Linked DNA regions of Arabidopsis thaliana. The protein of the gene in region 1 interacts with the protein of each later gene in a pairwise test. Each region holds a gene or a part of one and is shown in the gene's direction. Other genes may lie near its edges. The genes, in order: RR10, AT1G01300 and AT5G11090.

Region 1 (7,802 bases):
CTATTGTACAATGAATACATAACACACAACTAAGCCGGATTGGATTCGGAATCCTGCGTGCTTGGAGTAAACCATTCATGCGGTATATAAAAAAACATTATTAATCAAAATGATCAGAAATAATAATTATTATTTATCAGAAGAAACTTAGTTGTATTGTATGCATGAACCAAACCAAACCAAACCAATTCAAGAAGTGATTAACCCTTACCCCGGCCGAAACAACTTGTCTAGCCCATCCGAGACAACTACTATCTAAACACCACTGTTTTAATGTTCAAAATATAGTTTCTTGTTGAAATAAATGGACAACATTCATGATTCATGCATGGTCTTAAACAACTTTCATTGGCTATTTGTCTTTTTACACAAACGCAAAATTGGGCTTTAAAAACTCAGAAACAATGTTTTATTCATGGAAGCCCATTAATATTTGTATTGGACTATTGGACATCCAAAAAGCCCACAAAGAGCTCTGCTATTTCGATTCAGTTCAATTTCCAATCAGAGAAAACCTCGGAAGAGCCCTAAACGTCGGCGACGAACATCGATGGCTCTTCTGCTCCGTACTCTTCAAAAATCACGCATTTCTCCTTCTCATTCCTCAAGAACCCTAATTTCTTGGGTTCGATGCAAATCTCTCTTGCCAAATCACCAATCACGAGACGTCACCACATCGCCAGCTAAATCACCCTTCCGGTCCAACATTCTTCGAATCATAAGAAACGAGATCGAGTATCAATCCGATTATGCTCCTCCGCATCAGGTATCATCTATTTCGTTTATAATCACTATCTAGACAGCTGGAATCAATGTTTATGCTAGTCCTAGATTTCGGATTTGTGTAATTCAGTTGTTCTGTTGAAGTAGATAGATGAGGGAGACAAGTATCACTGTATTTGAATCAATTTGTTTATCAAGAAGTAGACTTTATTTGTTCAAGATCCAAGTAAATCGGAAGAGAAGAGATACTGATGATTTGTTTTTGTTTCACTTAAAACTATAATGCAGCCAGCGACTGAATTCAAATCGTTCTCTGTGGAGGATTGTCCCGGTGAGCAATGCATTGTGATGAAAGGGAAGTTTGGAGAAGATGAGGATATCAAAATGGAAGCAACTATGTTTGATGGGTTTATGAATGTTCCAAGAGCCGGTTTAGATGCTTCAGGGCACGATGTCCGTCTTCATATTAGCTTGCTTGTTGACATTTCCAAGGTTGATGGAAGTGAAGAGATCGAGTTCCTTTGCTCCGTCTGGCCTAACCGTATTGAAATTCGAAAGCTTTACAAGCTTAGACGCAACAAAATCACTGGTCAGCCTTACATGGGACCTAATTTTGGGTACTTACTACTAATCTCTCTGCTTTCTTGAATCACTTTAAATGTAGAGTGTAGCATTTAACTGGTCTTGAATTTGTTGATACAGTCAAGGAAATTGCCTAGTTGAATTCAGCTACTGAACCTTGTGATCTTTGTTTCTTTGCAGGAATTTGAAGTATGATTTTCAGACAGCGATTCGGGAGTTTTTACGAGTAAGAGGAATCGACGCAGAGCTTTGTTTTTTCTTGCATGAATATATGATGAATAAGGATAGGATTGAGCTCATTCAATGGTTGAGAAAGCTAAATTCATTCATCTCACAATAAACACGAAATATTTCGATGTTTACACATCTTCTAATTAAACTGTTTTATCAGTTAAAAGTAGTAATATTGGCTTATTGACAAAAAAAAAAAGTAGTAATATTGGCTTTAGTTACTTTTATCTGAAACAAAATGTACAATTGGGCCTTAGATGAGTAATAAACAATAGAACTTGGGCCCAACCCTCCACCGGGATGTTTAATAACTGTGTCTTTTAGTGTGGTTATTAATTAAAAAATTAACCCCTTTTGGTGTGAGCCAAAGAAAGAAAAATAGATTAAAGTCTTTCATATACATCAATTAAAAAATGTTCGATCAATTAAAACGAGCCATGATGAACTAATCATATACATCATCATCCATCGTGAAAAGCTAGCTGTTAGTTAATAATTACTTAATAATAAGAAAGAAAAAGAAAATGATTGTTATTACTTATTAGTACTGCTATATACTACTCCATATGGAATAGTAACTGCTATTATCTGGCGTTCTAGAGTTGACATTTAAATGTCATAGTTTTATTTAGATGTGGAAAATCTAGTAAGAGTAATAGAGTAGGAAGTGATTAGGAAGCAACCGAACAAGAAGCATATTTTATGACCGGTGTGGTTAGCCCTTGTGGGAGACAAGATTACCTCAATTTTTGGCTAATCTTGATTTTCCTCCTCCATTTTATTATTACTTATTTTCTTTCTTTTTATTATTATTTTTATCAGCATCTTTCTCTTTAATTATTTTTCTTAAAATTAAACATTACACCAAAGTGTTGCTGTTAATTTCTCATATTTAAATGTGAATAGATATATACTATATACTAATATACATGTGTGTATCCTATATGAGACCATAAGCCAATGACAGTAGGTATTAGCTAATGACAAGTGACTTCCAATAACTTATTAAGAAGTAGAATCTTTACAGATTTGATGTTTACATGGATCTTCTAGAAAACTGATTTCTTTAATCTCTCTAATGTCATCTGCAACTATTTAACATACACACACACAAAATAAAATAAAATTGGAAGAGCTAATGATAATGATTTGTATTAGAAAGTTGTCCTTTATTTTCCAATGCATTGCATCGAACATATGTTGATGTTCTTTTAAAATCGTAAAATCTAGTTCTGTATTCTTTTATTCTAGGTTTATCAAGGCTTTGTCACAAGACAATGAGAATACAACTTTTCTCTAATTTTCTTCATATACTAAATAAATTATCGTAGATTTGTAGAAGGTTCTTAGGCTAGATTCAAAAAGTCATTTAGGATCTCTTTCTAGATCTTGCATTTTTTTTAGTAAATCTTATGCTGGTGATACTTTTATTAAACCTTATGATTCTAATTTGGAAAACAAAACTAACTGATAACCTATTTTACATTAATAAAAACGATGCATAATTGTAATAATGTTTTATTTTTTTATGTTAATAAGCTAGCCAAAACATATTATTGATCCGAAGTACGCTATTTTCTATAAGAAAAGGAGAGGCACGGAAATGAACACGCTGTGTGGTTAATCCAAGAAATCATACAAAATTAATTCATAAACTATAATAAAATCATTGGGATCTTATTTTGCACCCACCAAGCTTGTAGGCTGAAGATGCGGATGGAACCCAACTTCAAGAAATTCTTGCCTTTTGTTTTATGGCTTTTTTTTGTCTTGTCATAGTTATATAAATGTATTTTGCTAAATTTAAACGGACAATCAAATAAATAAATAATATATAATTTGTAGTTAACAACTAAATTCAATGACTAATATCATGTAACAATAGACTTGTGACAGCAGTTTTCTTTGTTGACTTCAAAGTTTAATTCGAGCGTACGATACATTTGGTCGGTGATAAATATCGTGCTATGAGTTTAATTTGTTGACTTGAAAGTTTTATAAACATTGTGAACCATTGTAACATGTGTTTCTTGATTATACATATTCCTAAAATTAATTTCATATGGTAAGAGTGTAAAATTATCCAAGTAATGGTGTAAATTTTAAAAGTCTTTTTTTTTTTTTTTTTTCATCAATTTTAAAAGTCTTTCTCTGACGTTAAAAATAGTCTTGTCTTAGGTTTGAATAATATCGGCATTAGCCATTATTGGTCGTTACTATGGGATACTTAATTTTGCTAAATCTTTCAGAACCTGTACGAGATAAGCGAAAAAGCCATGAACCACGGTCACGCGTGTCTCGCACTTCCCAACTTTCACCATGCATGCTCTCACTAAAGCCTGTCTTTTTTTTTCTTTCTTTTACATATTTTAAAATCATAATACCATAATTTGCACTAATTCTTATGGTAAATCCGTTTTATGAGATACTCAACTTAGTTGTCCATTCCTTAAGACACAGATTAAGGAAAGTATTCAATTCTTTTTGAAGTTATGGTAATAACTCAAATTCTTCTTTCCTGCCTTGAATACTTGGTACAATATCACAAACATATCTCTAAATTAATTACATGATCTGCAGAATCATTTACATAAACACTTTCACATTTTTATCCATTTAAAAAAAAAAATATTATGATCCTCTTTCCTTTTCAATTAATTATCACTAAACTAAAAAATATTATTCCCACAGTCAAAAGAAACCAAACTAATTTAAAAAAGGTGGCGCGTGATTATCACGCTCAAATGACCGATCGGTTCCACTGAATTTTCTCAGAGATTCTCCTCTGAAAATGTTTTTTGTTTTTTTCTTATGTCAAAAAGAAAATTTACCAGAAATGATTAAAATTTGAAAAGAGAATTCCATAAATGAGTTAATTCGCCAGTCTTGAAGATCATTACAGAGTTTTCAGAAACCATATGTAGTCTTAGATTCTCTTTTGCCAAAGAAGAAAATTTTACTCTGCCATACAACTTTTTGTCTCTTTCTCTACTAATAATAATAATCCGAACTTTGTTTGTTCTTCTACTTCAATTCATAATCTTTGACGGCGATGACTATGGAGCAAGAAATTGAAGTCTTGGACCAGTTTCCGGTTGGGATGAGAGTTCTTGCTGTTGACGATGACCAGACTTGTCTCCGTATTCTCCAGACTTTGCTTCAGCGCTGCCAATATCACGGTTTGGTTCCTTCTCTCTCTCTCTCTTTGTTTTTTTTTAATACCAAATTTCTTGATGTTTTCTAGATTTTGGATTTGGTTAAGCTACAAAATTTAACATCAGATTCGTTTCTTGTCATAACACCATAAATCGATTCCTCTCTAGATTTTTATATTTTTGAAGACGAGCTTGAAGAATCAATTAAGACTATATTAGCTAGATTCACTCTCTGCATATTTTTTTACTTTTAAAAATCCATGCTTCAGATTTTGTTGCTTCACTTGTGTTTCAAAGGTCATTGGTTCTTGTTCGTTCGATTTGAAACAGTCTCTTGTTCTGTAAAAATTGAGACTTTGGGGAATTATTACATATTTGATTGCTCCCCATGTGTCACAGAGCCATTGGTTCTTGCTTTACTACTTTTGAATGAGTCAAAACTGAAACTTTGTGGGTGATTATTATTATTGTAATGTGCAGTTACAACAACGAATCAGGCACAGACCGCATTGGAGTTGTTGAGGGAGAACAAGAATAAGTTTGATCTTGTTATTAGCGATGTCGACATGCCAGACATGGATGGTTTCAAGCTGCTTGAGCTTGTTGGTCTTGAAATGGACTTACCTGTCATAAGTATGCAGCTCTCCTTGTTCTAGTTCATAGTTCCTAGAGAAAGTTTTGATCGTTAGACAGATTTGACTGTTTGAATCTTTAACATGATGATTGAATTCTTGCAGTGTTATCTGCGCATAGCGATCCAAAGTATGTGATGAAAGGAGTCAAGCACGGTGCCTGTGATTATCTGCTTAAACCGGTTCGAATTGAGGAGCTTAAGAACATATGGCAACATGTTGTGAGAAAGAGCAAACTTAAGAAGAATAAGAGCAATGTGAGTAATGGTTCAGGAAACTGTGATAAAGCAAACAGAAAACGTAAAGAACAGTATGAAGAGGAGGAAGAGGAAGAAAGAGGGAATGATAATGATGATCCAACGGCGCAGAAGAAGCCTCGTGTTCTTTGGACGCATGAGCTGCACAATAAATTCCTAGCAGCTGTTGATCATTTAGGCGTTGAGAGTAATGTTTCTTGATCTCTCTACCTCTAGTTTTCATTTAGCTGTGAATCATGTTCTGATTTATAAGTATTGATGATGCAGGAGCTGTTCCAAAAAAGATTCTAGATCTGATGAATGTTGACAAACTCACTAGAGAGAATGTTGCAAGCCACCTTCAGGTGAGAGTTAGACTATGATTCTTCAGATTTGATCTGTTAGTGTTGATATATGTATGATTCCATTAAACACATTTGTAATGTCTTTTGGTTGCAGAAATTCCGCGTTGCTCTGAAGAAGGTGTCTGATGACGCCATTCAACAAGCTAACAGGGCGGCTATTGACTCACATTTTATGCAAATGAATTCTCAGAAAGGACTTGGTGGCTTCTACCACCACCACCGCGGAATACCTGTTGGATCCGGTCAGTTCCATGGTGGAACCACAATGATGAGGCATTACTCTTCAAATAGGAATCTTGGTCGTCTGAATTCCCTTGGAGCAGGAATGTTCCAACCAGTCTCATCATCGTTTCCTCGTAACCATAATGATGGAGGAAACATACTTCAGGGTTTGCCGCTAGAAGAGCTTCAGATCAACAACAACATCAACAGGGCTTTTCCAAGCTTTACTTCACAACAAAACTCTCCAATGGTAGCTCCCAGTAATCTGTTACTTCTCGAGGGTAACCCGCAGTCATCATCTTTACCCTCAAACCCGGGTTTTTCTCCTCATTTCGAGATCAGCAAGCGTCTAGAACATTGGTCAAACGCTGCATTGTCAACCAACATTCCACAGAGTGATGTTCATTCAAAACCTGACACCTTGGAATGGAATGCGTTCTGCGACTCAGCTAGTCCGCTAGTAAACCCAAACCTGGATACAAATCCGGCATCTCTCTGCAGAAACACGGGTTTTGGATCCACAAATGCTGCACAAACAGACTTCTTTTATCCATTACAGATGAATCAGCAGCCTGCAAACAACTCAGGTCCAGTGACAGAAGCTCAACTGTTTAGAAGTAGCAATCCAAACGAAGGTTTACTCATGGGACAACAGAAGCTTCAGAGTGGTTTGATGGCTTCTGATGCTGGTTCCTTAGATGATATAGTCAATTCCTTAATGACACAGGTATTGTATACAATAAAAACCATTTACTTTTTGCACCTTATTCTTTTGGAGATTTCTGAAGATTTGTTACTTTGACTGTAACAGGAACAGAGCCAATCTGATTTCTCGGAAGGTGATTGGGATTTGGATGGTTTAGCTCACTCGGAACATGCATACGAGAAACTCCATTTTCCCTTTTCTTTGTCAGCTTGAGAAACCTGTTTTATTCAGACACAATCAATTATTATTATCTTTTGGTTCTGTCTCTTCTCTCTTCTCTGTAATGAAAGTGTAAGCTATTGTTTACCGCTCCCCCACTGGTTTGAGCAACTTAGGAAGATCCAAATCCATAAATAAAATTCAAAAAGTACCCTCTTTGCTACAAATGTAAAGGTGTTTTGAAGAGGAAGTCAAAGTCTTCGTGTCTAAGTGCAAAATAACGTTAGAATCAAAGTAGTACAATGATTTGTACTACCAGCCTAAATCGGCCCCATATGCCCAATAACCTGGCTTAGGTGTCAACCACCCAACATTGGCGACCTTAAGAAAAAAGTCTACAAAGAAACATAACTTTATAATTATTTATCCAGAAATTCTGGAAGAAAATAAAGCCTATCACGAAATGAGTATAAAAGTGATAACGACAACAAATACAAAGCAGAGAGATGTCATTAAATTATACATCATCATAACCCAATTACAATAAAGTGTCTTTAGCGCACACGCATGCATATAGAGGAGCCATTATCATACTGTATACTACCACAAAGATTCTACTAATTAATTAATTATCACCAGCTAATATATTAGCAATCAAGGAAATGATTTGAAAAGCCATTAACATCTCGTGGGTCCAAGCCAATCCTCACAAGAACACCTTTGGCATCTTTAGGGTTCTTCATGAAATAAGCAACTTGTGGCACCGGTGGACACAGTGGGGCCATGTAATC
Region 2 (7,616 bases), on another chromosome or scaffold:
ATCCCCAAATCATGAATATAAATGAGCTGAATCAGGTTTTTCTCACTCTCTGTCTGTTGTTTTGGTTTTTTCTTTTTCTCGTCATGTTGTTTTGGTTTTGTGTAGCTCTTAGTAGATTCAATCTAATTAATGGTTAAAAAGAGTTCGTTGAGAAAGTAGAGAAATTGATGTTAAATCAGTGATCTTGATTCTACCAAAAACATTTGAATTGGTGTTTCAGGAGATGCAGTCAATCTTTGGACAAGAACCTTCTCCCGATGGTCCTGGGACAATGGATTTCTCTGAGTTGAAATCATCCAAAATCGAACCTTTGAGATCGAAGAATATTGATTTTAGACAACAAATTGAGTATCATAAATCTACACACTCGAGCAAGAATGATTCGCAAGCTATAGAACAATATGCAAAAGTGGCTAGTGATATGTCTAAGCTAACACATGTTGGTATCGCAGGGGAAGCTCAAATGGTGGATGTTTCTTCTAAGGACAATTCCAAGAGAACTGCATTGGCCTGTTGTAAAGTTATTCTTGGGAAACGAGTATTTGATTTGGTCTTAGCGAATCAAATGGGGAAAGGAGATGTTCTTGGAGTGGCGAAAATAGCTGGGATCAACGGAGCAAAACAAACCAGCAGCTTAATACCATTGTGTCATAACATTGCTCTTACGCATGTTCGTGTAGACTTACGACTAAACCCTGAGGATTTTAGTGTTGACATTGAAGGAGAAGCTTCTTGCACTGGAAAAACCGGAGTTGAGATGGAAGCTATGACTGCTGTATCAGTTGCTGGTTTGACTGTTTACGATATGTGTAAGGCTGCTTCCAAAGATATCAGTATTACAGACGTGAGGCTCGAGCGTAAAACTGGTGGAAAGAGCGGGTCTTGGTCTAGACTCTAGAGGGGACTGAACACATTCAACATTTGCCTCTGTTGCTATAAAGGTTAGCTTTCTTTATCTTATTTGGATGCTTGGGTGATATCTCTTATATGGAAAGATGGAAACTTTTGAATCTCGATTAGTCAATTAGGCACTGTGAAAGACACTATAGTTTTGCTCACAATTTGTTGCTTCTGCTGTTTTAGTTTGGGTACTCTCTAAGAACAAAGGTGAAATATTACCTATTGATGCTTAAGAGCGGATTGAAACTACCAAGTTTGTTCTTTTTAGTATTTATTCTTGCAATGGGTTATGTGTAAGAACACACATAACATCTCTCTTGAATCTTGTTATAATTAGATCATCACAACACTATTAAAAGGGTCAGATAACATAGTGTTTATATGTATAGGTATATAGGTTATCATGTCGATTTGTGAATCTTTTTGTATGCATATGGTTCATGTTACGACCTTGGAATGATGAGTGAGCACTAAACATATACTAAAGCAGAGAAAGCTAGAAAGTGTGCTAGGCTGTCTCTACTGGCCAAAGTCTCTTTTTTTCATTCTTTCTTGTAGCTTTTGCTTTCTTGTCTCCTCTAATCAAATACTCCATTTCGAGATCTCTCCGTCTGATTTCTTACCAATGTACTAATCATTAATCAAATTGGAACTACGTGTAGCACTATGGCTTGTCCGAACCAGTAAAACCGGCTGAGAAAAGATCCTGTCAACGAACCAACCGGTCAAGTACGGATTTCTTTAATTGTAAAGTTGGGTACGTGTTTATGAAGCGAACGTGTTTGATAGAAAAAAAATGAATGCTTGCAACTGTGAAGACTGAAAAGTCATGATTTAGTGTTGAGACTTATTCAAATTATTATGTCCACATTCTTTAAACAGTGGGAAGAGAGAGATTGGTGACAGCATTAAATTGGTGGTCACACATACCAATATCACAAAATTTAGTACTTGTACCCCATAAAGAAGAGGGTCACTATATTCAATTATTCATGTTTTATGATGTAATATACTATAGTAGATGTTAACATATCGAAGCATTGAATATGAAAGTTCCAAATCTTGATGGTCATTATTTCGAATTCTTGTGGGCGAATAAATGAAAAGAGCGTTTGATGATATCGACATTCTAACAAGATCGTGAGATCTAAAGGTCGTCGTGATGATTTAGTAATAAGATAAAAAAGTCGTAGCAACGTTTTTTTGGTTTAAAATGTAAAAAGAAGACCGTGATGCATTGTTTGTAATGTATACATGAATAAAATAAGTACTTATTTAACAACGTAGTGTATTAGATTATCTTTCGTCATGTATTTGCATGTATATTTTCCCCCATGTGGAATGTTTCAGTTTGTGTTATCTCAAGAGCGAAAATGTGCCACCAATTGTGGGGAAATTATTGGGCATCATTAATTAACTACTAGTAGTATATAAAACGAGCTTTTCACTTTTCACAAAATAATTATAGTTAAAATAAGCAAATTATTTCATGACGTAAAAAAAGAAAGAAAAAGAAGCTACCACACCACTTGCATATTTCTTAAGTGTCTGTTATCCACCGAATCTAAAATGTCGCTTTTGCATTCCCACAATCTTATTAGATATTTGTATTCCCAGAGTAAAAGTATAATTCAAACATTTATTATTATTATTATAGGAATTGAAAGAAAATTAAATTTTCAAAAAGACCGCTTACTTGTTTATTATATACACAGAGAAGAGAACAGTCTCACTCGCCACTTTCCTCGAGAAAACGAAAAAAAAAGATGGTAGGAAGAAGAAAAGCTTTACTCTTTTCTCTCTGTTTCTTCTTCCTCTCTCTTCCTTCCTTCTCTTCCCTTCCATCCTTCCAAACCCTATTCCCCAATTCTCATTCCCTTCCTTGTGCTTCTCCCGTCTCATTCCAACCCGACTCCGACTCCGAGTCACTGCTAGAATCCGAATTTGAATCCGGATCCGACTCCGAGTCTTCTTCTTCCATTACTCTAAACCTCGACCACATCGATGCTCTCTCCTCCAACAAAACACCCGACGAGCTATTCAGCTCCCGTCTCCAACGTGACTCCCGGCGCGTGAAATCTATCGCCACACTCGCCGCTCAAATCCCCGGAAGAAACGTGACTCACGCGCCACGACCCGGTGGATTCAGCAGCTCAGTCGTCTCTGGTCTCTCTCAAGGAAGCGGTGAATACTTCACGCGCCTCGGTGTCGGCACTCCGGCGAGATATGTTTACATGGTGCTCGACACCGGCAGCGACATCGTCTGGCTACAATGCGCTCCTTGTCGGAGATGCTACTCTCAATCCGACCCGATATTCGACCCGAGAAAATCCAAGACCTATGCCACAATCCCCTGTTCTTCACCTCACTGCCGCCGATTAGACTCCGCCGGATGCAACACCCGTCGTAAGACTTGTCTCTACCAAGTCTCTTACGGAGATGGTTCTTTCACCGTCGGCGATTTCTCCACCGAAACGCTAACTTTCCGGCGAAATCGCGTTAAAGGCGTTGCTCTCGGATGTGGCCACGACAACGAAGGTCTCTTCGTCGGAGCCGCCGGTTTATTAGGACTCGGTAAAGGTAAATTATCGTTCCCCGGTCAAACCGGTCACCGGTTTAATCAGAAATTCTCTTACTGTTTAGTCGACAGATCCGCTTCTTCGAAACCTTCCTCGGTCGTCTTCGGAAACGCCGCCGTATCACGAATCGCGAGATTCACGCCACTTTTGTCAAACCCAAAACTCGACACTTTCTACTACGTCGGGCTTCTGGGAATTAGCGTCGGAGGGACACGTGTCCCCGGCGTAACGGCTTCTCTTTTTAAACTTGACCAGATCGGTAACGGTGGAGTTATTATCGATTCGGGTACGTCTGTGACCCGGTTGATCCGACCAGCTTATATTGCTATGAGAGACGCGTTCCGGGTCGGAGCTAAGACATTGAAAAGAGCTCCGGATTTCTCACTCTTCGACACGTGTTTCGATCTCTCCAATATGAACGAGGTTAAAGTACCGACGGTGGTTTTACATTTCCGTGGAGCTGACGTATCACTTCCGGCGACGAATTACCTGATCCCTGTGGATACCAACGGCAAGTTCTGTTTTGCGTTTGCCGGTACGATGGGCGGACTATCCATAATTGGGAATATCCAGCAACAGGGTTTCCGGGTTGTATACGACTTAGCGAGTTCCCGGGTCGGGTTTGCTCCAGGAGGATGCGCTTAATAATTAGATCTGACCGGAGCCGGTACGGATAATGTACTTTTGTTTTCTCAATTTAATGCTTAGACTTGTTTTTTTTTTTTTTATAAATCGGACAAGTGAATCTTTAAGCGGTGGAGTTGAATACGTGTTGATAAAATCTTCACGTGTTGTCGGCTGTATTATTAGTATCGTCTTTATTTTACATCTCGGACCAAAGAGAGCGTGTATGATTTTCTAAAAAATTGGCAATTTTACTTTTAGTTATCCAACAAATGACAACTGCGGAAATTAGTTAGATCAAAGATTATTCAATATAATTTCCAAGTCAGACAAATCTGATTATCTGAGGATGGTAGAGTACGTCTATAATAGTATAAATTAAGATAGATTTTGGTAAATTACTGTTTACGTAATACATAGGGCAGATGAAAAATTGTGTTGGAGTTGTTAATCAGACAAAAACGAAGATTCAGCGCGAAGATAGAGACAGTGCTCCTATTACATACTCCTGCATGCACTGATTACTTCATTTTTTTCCTTGTTTATTTTCAAGCACTTTATTGGTTTAATAATCTACTTTATCACCTAATTACATTGAATACGTGTTAACTTGAGCTTAGAGTCTTCATATGTTACTTAGTTCATTCGTTATGAGTTTAAAACCCTCTCACTCAACCTGTACTATGTTTTGCATAGTTGGCTAAACATGAGATATCTTAGCAGAAACTGAGAACACTTGTCAAGTTCAACATTTGCGGATATACAAGTAACGAAAAACAACACTTGAAATTTAATGAAAAGATGTTAGAAAGTATAAAACATTAATGAATATAACATCTTAACGTAACACACCTATATTTTCCATTACTTTATATAACCCTCAATAAAATAGTTTATAAATCTACACACAAAACCTCATCAAAAACCATGGGAAAGCCAAGAAGCGTGTCTCCGACCATCTTCCTCCTAGTCATCCTCTTGGTGACCGCCGGAGAGAAGACGGAGGCGAAGCCATGGTGGAAGAAAGTCGGAGATTCCATCGGGAATATAGCCGGAGGAATAAGAAATGCGGTTGGGAATTATAAACCAGTGGAGATGGGATTGTCGTTAAAAGGAGGATTTTGTGTGAGAAAGCTTCTGTCTTTGAATACGAATGTGTTCAGTGAATGGTGTATAGCTCTTAATGATCCAAGAGCTCCTATGTACATGAAGATTGAGAATATACCAAGTGGTGTGTCAATCGAGTCCATTTTAAAGAAGCCTATTGATTTAATCAAGAACCATTATCCCAATTTCTTGAAAGTTTGGAACTTTAACCAGAAAATTAAGAGAAAGCCTAGACGTGCTCTTTAATTTTCTTTATTCTTCTTCTTTTTGAGACATGCAGATTCGCTATTATTTCGATTATTAATAATGATAAACTTGAGCTACATGTTCTTGTTATGTTGTTGTTTAAATTTGAGTATAGCATATAATTCAAATATAATTTGGGTTGGTTTTGATTTACAATTTAAGTATTGCCTAATTGTAGGTGGGTTTACTACATTCTTGAATTGATTTAGAATGGTGTTCCGATCTTCAATATTCACCATGCATTTGACTTTCTATTAATTAGTTTCCACTCACAATTTTGCATTTTAGAGTTAATTACACTTTTCACCTACAATTAACGTAATTAACTCTCCGATTAAACTTGATCCTTTGTTTTGTTTTTTTGTAATGGAGCTTCGTAAACGGAAAATACGAGCTCCATTACATATCTTCGTCGGCATAACGTTCTTCCTCCTTCAGCTTTGGTCGGGAACGGCCCAAATTAACCATGAAGACTCTTCCACAAAACCCTCCGTTAAAAACTCTCCGTCAGCGACGAGTACTCGGCTTCTGTTGTCACCACCTTCGTTCACCGGAAACCGATTCTCGTTCAGGTTCAGGTGGAGGAGAATACGACGTCGTAACAGAGTCAACAGAGCGAGCAGAGAGTTTTTAATCGCACATAACCTCGTAAGAGCGCGCGTGGGAGAACCACCGTTTCAATGGGACGGAAGATTAGCGGCGTACGCGCGCACGTGGGCGAATCAGCGCGTGGGTGATTGTAGGCTTGTTCACTCTAACGGGCCGTATGGAGAAAACATATTTTGGGCCGGAAAGAATAACTGGAGCCCCAGAGATATTGTTAATGTGTGGGCCGATGAGGATAAATTCTACGACGTGAAAGGTAACACGTGTGAGCCGCAACACATGTGTGGGCACTACACGCAGATCGTGTGGAGAGATAGTACCAAGGTCGGATGCGCAAGTGTGGATTGTTCGAACGGCGGCGTTTATGCGATTTGTGTTTATAACCCACCGGGAAATTACGAAGGTGAAAATCCGTTTGGAAGTTATGATGATCAGATTGGTCTTGCCCGGGATGATCCACCGGCGGTGATCGGAGGAATGGCTTGAGAGTGGAGGACACGGCGGTGTCACAATCCACTTTTAGTTACTAATTTTTTTTTCTTCTCTCAAACTTTTTTTGGATGAAACTTAACCTTGGGTTTTTATTCAGTGGAACGATCATCTAATAACTGATTCATTAAACAAGTTTATAATTTCGACATTTTATATAGTGAATCGTTAGAATTGATGTAATCGATGAGAAATACGCAAGTAAATTACGTGAAAACTAATGTTTAAACATGAAGAACCATAAAAGAAAAAATTATGTCCAAAATTTCCTACGTTTTATTGGCTGAATTAAAAGAAAAACCCCAGAAAAATGTTATATCACCTCACTTGGTAAACAAAAGAATGGCTTGGCTTTTTCTCACCTCTGCACAACCTTTCCGGTCAAAATCCAAAACATTGTAACTTCATTTCGAGGCTATCACAAGCCTCAGTTTCCCATGACTGTGAATGAAACTACCTGCCAATTAGAGATCAACAAGTTAAAATAAATACAAGTGTATACATGTCTTTGAAGATTTAGTTTAAGAGTTTAGAGAAGCTAACCTTTATATTGTCCCTATGAAACAGCAAATATCAGAGATGTGTGTGTGAGTTTGCATTTCATCGAATTAGCTCAATCTTTGGAGAGTGTTTCAAGCTACAGACTTTGGAGCCTCGCTGTCTCTGATAACTCTGCTATAGCCAAGCTTGAACGGTTGAGAATCATAAGGCCGGTTAAGCAAACTGATTGGCATTCTCAGTGTTTGTTTCCTGTTTCTCCTCCCTCTTAACAAAATGCTGAAAGTTTTCTCACCTTCCTCAGATTTCCGGTTTCCATTCTCCGTTTCACTGCGTGCAACTGCGTTGTTCACATGGTTAACAGAATCCATAACTTCATCGGCGACTGCCACATCTTGCGTGCCTTCTTTGGTTTCTTCTACACCTGAAGTGTCAATATCCGTTGGCAGAATCACAGTTGGCTCTAACACAGTTGCAGCTATTGGCTCGGTGATCATGTGCGGTGGGGGAAACTCAACGGGATGGCATCCAGGCCAAACCGTTCTTGGTACAAAATCCGACACATTG
Region 3 (6,845 bases), on another chromosome or scaffold:
TATATTCATATCATATCGTCGCATTTACGAGCCCTATATCGGGAATCTTTTAATTTCAGTTTCCTCTTTATATCTTAAAAAGTCAATGATTAATGCAATTTATGGAGTATAGGTGGGTTGGTGTGTGTTGCAATTACAACCTATGGCACGACAATATCTCTAGGAACAGTCTTCTCGTGGGGTTTTAACATTTATTTTTGATTAAAGTTGTTTTTACAAAGTATTAAACGGTGCAAAACTGCGAATTGTACAATCAAAAATAAAAAGATATTCAAATCAACAGCAATTTTCTAAATAAAATAAAAATAGTTATACTTATTTCACTAAATAAAATGAAAGTAAAGCAGAAATATGAAGAAAAAAAAAGTAATAGTAAAAGAAAGTTCATCTATAAAGAACTGGTGAACTCTTTTTAGCTATATTCCTTGGTTTTTCTACGAGTAACACCATTTTAGTGTAACATGTGTTTAAGTCTGGAGTGGATGCATTCTCGGTGGATGTCATGTTTTTCGATCATATATATATATACACAATACTACAATAAGATGCAACGGGTTACCACTTACCAGTAGCTAAATCAATACTTGCATGAAGGTAAACGGTTAAAAGTTAAAGCTAAGATAACACTAAGAAATCACGATACTTCTTCAATTTTAAGATAGAAGAGTTAATATTGATATGATTGAATCCTTTACAACCAAAAAAAAAAAAAAAAAAAGAATACCATTTTTGGTAAATAAGGTTTTTAAGATCGTTAGTTTCTGGATTGTTTAGATAATACTAAGATTTTTATTTTTTTTTGTGCACCAGATAATACTAAGATATTCAAATGTCTCTTTTAGTGGATGGTTATTGATTAACCAAATATACAAACAGATGTCGAAATGAAGAAGAAAAAATGGCAAATCAGCATAATATCATAATTATTGAAATCTGTACATTATAATATTGGATGCTAGTACAACATCATTGCTACAACCACTTTAATAAAATGAAAATATCAGAGAGAGAAATAAAGCATCATATCCTTTGTAATATGATTCTCAAACTCGAGTCAAATTAAATATTCCTTACAATTTACTATTTACCAATTACTATACTCCATAGGCATCGAGCCCTCTCTATTCAGTTTTACATTCTCGAAGCACCTTTTTATATCGTGCATGAGATATCGGACATATAATGAAGAAGATTGTAACACGCTTTATACTCGCCAAAAAAGATATCAACTTAACAAATGCTGATAAAAATAGATACAGAAGATTACTCTTGATCTATTTTTTTGTGTGAAATTACTCTTATGATCTTATCGCCACTAGAGTAAAAGAGTTTCCTTGTAAAAAAAGATTTGGAACAAATATTTGTTTTCACCGAATAATTTTTTTATCGGATGTCCCCGAAGGGACTTTCACCAAATAAAGGTGAGTCCAGATGATTACTAGTGGACTTTTGGATTGTAATAAGAACGAATAATCACATGACCACGACCAGGCCATGACCATGACCATGTTAAATAAATCCAACTTCCACTCTAAATCCAGTGTCAGACATTGGATCACCAGTTAAACACTTTTGGCTCTTGGATTGTTATGATGCTAGTAGAAGCCTGGACACGTGTGACATAAATCTATACGTGTCGTAGTAATGTGGACGTGGTGGTGTGAGTGTTGTAGCCTATTGCTTTATCACATTGTGTGTCCCGACCATACAAAAATAACTGTTTTGTCCCTAACTTACCCAACACGACCTCCATGTGCCCCGCATCATTGTGATCTACTACTATTTTCAATTATATTTATTGCCTAGATTCGTCTAAATCAACTGTTTACAATCGTCGTACCCACCTAATCATATACTAATGTCTAATATTAGTTTTACTTTCTTTTAGTTTTTATCAGGTATAATACTATTTTAGTGGTATTAACGTTTGATAGGTGCTACTAAGAATTAATTACACACAAAATATGGATTCTGTCAAGACCAATTTAGACAAAATGTGAAACGAGTAGATCAGACCTTATTAATAATCTCAATCATAATTCTCTCTTAAATATTTAATCAAATTAGACAAAATATAGGTCGTTTCTGACCGTCAAACGTTTAATATCTGTAGAAACCGTGTTTAAAGGTTTAGTTGGTAAGAACTCTCTGAAATGTATCCATCAAATTCTTAAAATTGATATTCTGCACCAAAACTATTACTGGCAATAATCTGTCTAAGCATATTTTGTATTTTGCGGTTAAGGACGCATTGGAATAAGACATATATTATTACTATGGTTGAGTTCATCACCAAATTCCTTCTGCAGAGAAGCTGTTATACCTTTAAGATAGCATATAAATGTTCTAATACATCAGAATAGTGTTCGAGTCAGTAGTTCCATCAATTTGTAGGGACTCTTTAGGTCTAATATGAAACACAGTTGCATGGATCTCCTCCACCGTAACAACTTTATACCAAATGCTAGATTCGTTGTTGTTGTTACATTGCTTTTAAGCCCATTCAAGAGTTTGGCTAACTCACCAGTAGGTTTAAGGTGAAAAGTTGTTGAAATATGTTAAGTGTTACGTGTTGAGTAACTCTTGACTAATTATGATCATAATACGAAATTCTTAAAGTGTTACGAATTAACGATTGGCATTGCCTTCCAAAAAACTAGCTATATCAAGTCCTCTCTCTTTGGCCCTTTTTTATTTGGTAGTGAGCTGTTATTTCTTCTTCTAGCATTAAACCATCTTGAAAGGAAACAAACCAGCAAACGTAGGTACTTTTAATGATGGTGTCAGTTAGATCATAGATGTAACTTTATATGTTACCTTCATGTTATAAGATTTCTATATTGATGTTGTTGGGTATTAGCAACTAGTATTGATGAACCCAAAAAAAAAAAAAACTAATTTTGATATTTATTATAAAAAAATAATAATTAGTAATTAATATTTGATGTTAAGAGACTATATACGTAGACCAAAGGCATGTTTCAGACAAAAAAAAAACAAGAACAATAGAGTGCTAAATTTGATCAATGTAAGCTTTTAATATCTACTACAAAATCTAAAATTACTAAAAGTCATAAATCTTCAAATTGCTATTAAATTTATTTTATAAACCAAATTTAATTATTTAAAATATGTTTATAAAACTATTCAAAGTCTACCAAATAAATATGACACAAATCTTCAAATTGCTATTAAAATTATTTTATAAACCCAATATAAAGTCATATTTATTTGGTAGACTTTTGAATGGTTTGACATATGTGATTTTAGCTCACTAATTTATTAGTATTGAACTCTCTTACATTTATTAAAACTATTTTATGTTGGCAAAAATGTTTTACTCTAGAATACACTATACATAAGACTGATTTATTCGAAGCCTTCTTTAGATAGCCTAAATTTACACAAATGTTGTTAGATGCTAAACTTTTGTATAATCTTATTAATCTGAATCAATACCGTTACAGAACCATTGGGTTGTGACGATAAAACAAACAAAATAAAACCATTGGAAATGTAAATCCGGCTCTTGGCAAAACAACGGGCAATGGCAATTTACGTAATTATCTAAACTTTCTCTGGGTACTCTCCTACTTAAGAGCTGACATCTTTCTTAGTCATGACACGTGGCAGCTTTTTTAACTGCCCCCAAAAGCATTCCCTCTGATTTGTCATCTCAGCCGTTGGATCCGAACCCGATTCTTTTCGAAACGGCAAAACCGCCTCAAATTGAAAAACAAATTAGTAATTTATTTTGCTAACCATAGTTAAGTTTCATTAACCATGGTTAAATTTGACTAACCCGACATAGAAATACCTAAATTTCGAAAATGGTCAAAGTCTTTGAACGTATTTACATTTATTGCCATTGAACAAGCTTTTGCTATAAATTCGGTTCCTGAGACTCGCTAGGTTTGCCGAACCAACCTCCCTTAGGCACTTTCTACAGAGCAGCTAATCAAAAAAAAAAAAAAAAAACCTTGTTCTTCTCTTCTTCTTCCTCTCTCACAAATTTGACTTTCATAGAAGAAAAAAATGGTGACTACATCGTCACGAACCAAGTCAAACGGACCGGTGCTTCGTTCACAATCACCGTCAGGTCGATTTTGCGGTGGTTACTCAAGAGCCGTTCCGTCATCTTCTTCATCAGCTTTCGCTTCATCAACGAGTTCTAGCTTTTCATCTCCGTCGTCAGCTTTTTTCAGCAATCACCGTCATCACGAGAGCAATCACAGTCACCACCGATCTGCGTCACCGACTCGTGTGAATCTCTACACAGCGCAACCGATGTCTCAGTCGTTTCGTTACTCTCTCGATAGCAGATCTATATCTCCGACTAACAAATCGATCTCCGTTTCGAAGAATCAGCCACCGAGCCATAATCACAAGATCTCAAGGAGATGTATGTGTTCTCCGACGACGCATCCAGGATCTTTCAGATGCAGTCTACATAAGAACGTAGCGAATCCACATGGTCAAGGTACAGCTTCGTATACAACGAATGGATTGAATATGCGTCGATCTGCGATGACTAATTCGCTGGTGAGAATTGGTGGTGTTGAAGGAGAGTGGGTGAGAAGAGCTTTGACTACTTTGATTCGACCTTCTTCGCATCATCTGAAAAGACGAGCTGCTTATCAGCCACGTCCTAGTCGACTCTCAATCATGGCGAAAGCTGATGAGAATTGATTTTGATCTGGATTTTGGTTAATTCAGGTTTGTTTTGTTTGTTGTTCTTCTCTCTTTAAACGAAAACCACCACAGGATTTAGTAGATCCGGCGAAGAAGTCTTGTTATGAAGCTGAGGTCTGCGAAGAAGAATCATCCTCGAGAAATCGAGATTTTGTAAAAGGAAGAAACACACACCTATCATAATTTTTTTGTTGTTGGGTGAAAGAAGATGCTAGAATGCATTGTACATACGTTCTCTTTTTTACTGTTTTTGTTGCTCTCTCTTGCGTCTTTGTCGAACCCCAAAAAAAAAAAAATGTTCGGAGTCTCACCAAAAATTAGAGACCTAAAATCGAAAATCAAAGAACTGAATCTAATTTCTGTATTGAACAAAGTGAGATTTCTCATTCCTCACAATCAATTGTGTATGTGTTTGTCAGATTAGCGTTTTTTTTTTCGTGTCCCGTCAAGTCAACGTTCGTGTACTCCGTTGACCGGCGTTGTTTGCCATTATCCGTCGTCGTTTCTACCGTGAAGCGTTGCGTTAGTTTTCCAGGTATGCGTTATTCGTCGTGTCAGGTATGTTCCATTCGTTTTTTTTTTTTTTCCGTTTTATGTTACTTACATTTTTTTGTAGTTATATTTTCGTGGACATTTTGAATTTTGTTTTTGTTTTGCAGGTTGCGTTTGGTGATGGAGTTTGAACTACTTGACTAACAGGGACATGAAAATTCAGATGGAATTGAGAGAAAAACAAAATAAATTAGTAGAAAAATACATTAAAAACAAAAACAAAAGAGGTGGAAAAGGTCTTCACTTTCTGGACATATATAAAAAAACAACGAAAAATCTATGGAGGGAAAAACATGACTGAAGACAAAATTTACATAGGAGGGAAATGGAAAAAAAGTGTTTTGGTAAAAGAGATAGCTGACTGACCCAATTAGAAAAATGACTGAACATATGGAATATATTAGGGAGCAGATGGAAAAGAATACATATGAATATATTATTAATGGAATTGGGAATCTTTTGGATTCATGAAGGAGTAAAACTTGGAATGTTTGAAAGAAGAAAAGAGGAAGGCTATGAATGTGGAAAGACACGTCTTACTGATCTGGAAGATTTTGTTATATTCGATCATATTCCTCTGCGTCCATGATATACTTTTTAAAAATAATTTATAATTAATTCAAGAAATCTTCTTTGAATTTATTAAACAAAGTTTGATGTTTTAAGTTTAAAAAAATGAAACTCATCGAAAAGCTAAAACTGCGTAAACTTGACGATGAATGATGATGCCCCACATTGTAATATGTTGTACGTGGATTAGTTTAGGTTTATTTGTAGAATTTAAAAGGGTTTTCTATTGTCAGAACTTAGAAGAAGTCGGCTAGTGATGAATAGAATGTGTTGGCGACCACAAAGGTTGGACCGGACTTGTGATCTTTTCTGATTGACGTATCCCCTCGGGTTTGATCGGTTTAACTTCATTCCGCTTTGGTATGTTCCTACAACCAACTGATACTAACCGAGTGAAACACTATTGACTATAGTTTTGCAAACTGTTGTTTCTTCTTCTGTTTAGCGGCTCTCGAAAAGGGAAGAAGTGGAAAATGGCTCTTGTGACCAATAGTTTCCAATGTCATACTCATACAGTCATACATGTTTCGTTATGAGTCGTCTCCACCTCAAGTACTTGAAATTATTGTAAATTTAAGAATGGTAGTTGAAAAACTTAATGATTTTCCACCTATTCAATATCAGCATGACATCATTGGTCGACTAATATTTTTGTAAAAATTCTAGCAATAAATTGTACCTAAAGAATAAGAGGAATAAATGGTGAAATAGAGGGATCGTCCAATTTATAAAGAGGAAAAAGTGGAATGAAAGATGGGATACACGTCTTCCTTACCTGGAAGAGTATATGCCACCATCATATTGTTACATTATTGTTTTATTATATCACTTAGATATTTCTTTTATACCTTTTCATAGTTATGGTTCAATTCATAGTGATATCATATGAGGTCGGCGACTACTTGCCTAAAAGGAAAAATATTAAGAAGAGATATACATGGAATATTATATTCGCAATTATTATCACTATTTTTTGCAAAACGTAGAACAATGAATGTGTATCAAAAAAACAAAATTTACGCGTGAAGGCG

The links.
Region 2: the proteins of RR10 (region 1) and AT1G01300 interact in a two-hybrid assay, tested with the Arabidopsis thaliana proteins (one large-scale study listed by BioGRID).
Region 3: the proteins of RR10 (region 1) and AT5G11090 interact in a two-hybrid assay, tested with the Arabidopsis thaliana proteins (one large-scale study listed by BioGRID).

Annotation. Positions count from the first base shown.
Region 1 is NC_003075.7:15,443,553-15,451,354, reverse strand, and holds RR10 (response regulator 10), read left to right. Parts: upstream 1-4,312; 5' UTR 4,313-4,588; coding exon 4,589-4,715; intron 4,716-5,171; coding exon 5,172-5,324; intron 5,325-5,428; coding exon 5,429-5,767; intron 5,768-5,847; coding exon 5,848-5,924; intron 5,925-6,018; coding exon 6,019-6,873; intron 6,874-6,957; coding exon 6,958-7,065; 3' UTR 7,066-7,302; downstream 7,303-7,802. Other genes in the region: AT4G31930 (Mitochondrial glycoprotein family protein), read left to right, coding at 551-766, 1,012-1,340, 1,486-1,645; BAT1 (HXXXD-type acyl-transferase family protein), read right to left, coding at 7,659-7,802. UniProt on the Arabidopsis thaliana protein: Transcriptional activator that binds specifically to the DNA sequence 5'-[AG]GATT-3'. Functions as a response regulator involved in His-to-Asp phosphorelay signal transduction system.
Region 2 is NC_003070.9:114,399-122,014, forward strand, and holds AT1G01300 (Eukaryotic aspartyl protease family protein), read left to right. Parts: upstream 1-2,385; 5' UTR 2,386-2,666; coding exon 2,667-4,124; 3' UTR 4,125-4,447; downstream 4,448-7,616. Other genes in the region: CNX3 (cofactor of nitrate reductase and xanthine dehydrogenase 3), read left to right, coding at 1-35, 221-898; AT1G01305 (uncharacterized protein), read left to right, coding at 5,031-5,456; AT1G01310 (CAP (Cysteine-rich secretory proteins, Antigen 5, and Pathogenesis-related 1 protein) superfamily protein), read left to right, coding at 5,823-6,548; AT1G01320 (Tetratricopeptide repeat (TPR)-like superfamily protein), read right to left, coding at 7,184-7,616. UniProt on the Arabidopsis thaliana protein: Aspartyl protease. Not able to cleave BAG6.
Region 3 is NC_003076.8:3,520,761-3,527,605, forward strand, and holds AT5G11090 (serine-rich protein-like protein), read left to right. Parts: upstream 1-3,916; 5' UTR 3,917-4,035; coding exon 4,036-4,689; 3' UTR 4,690-5,086; downstream 5,087-6,845.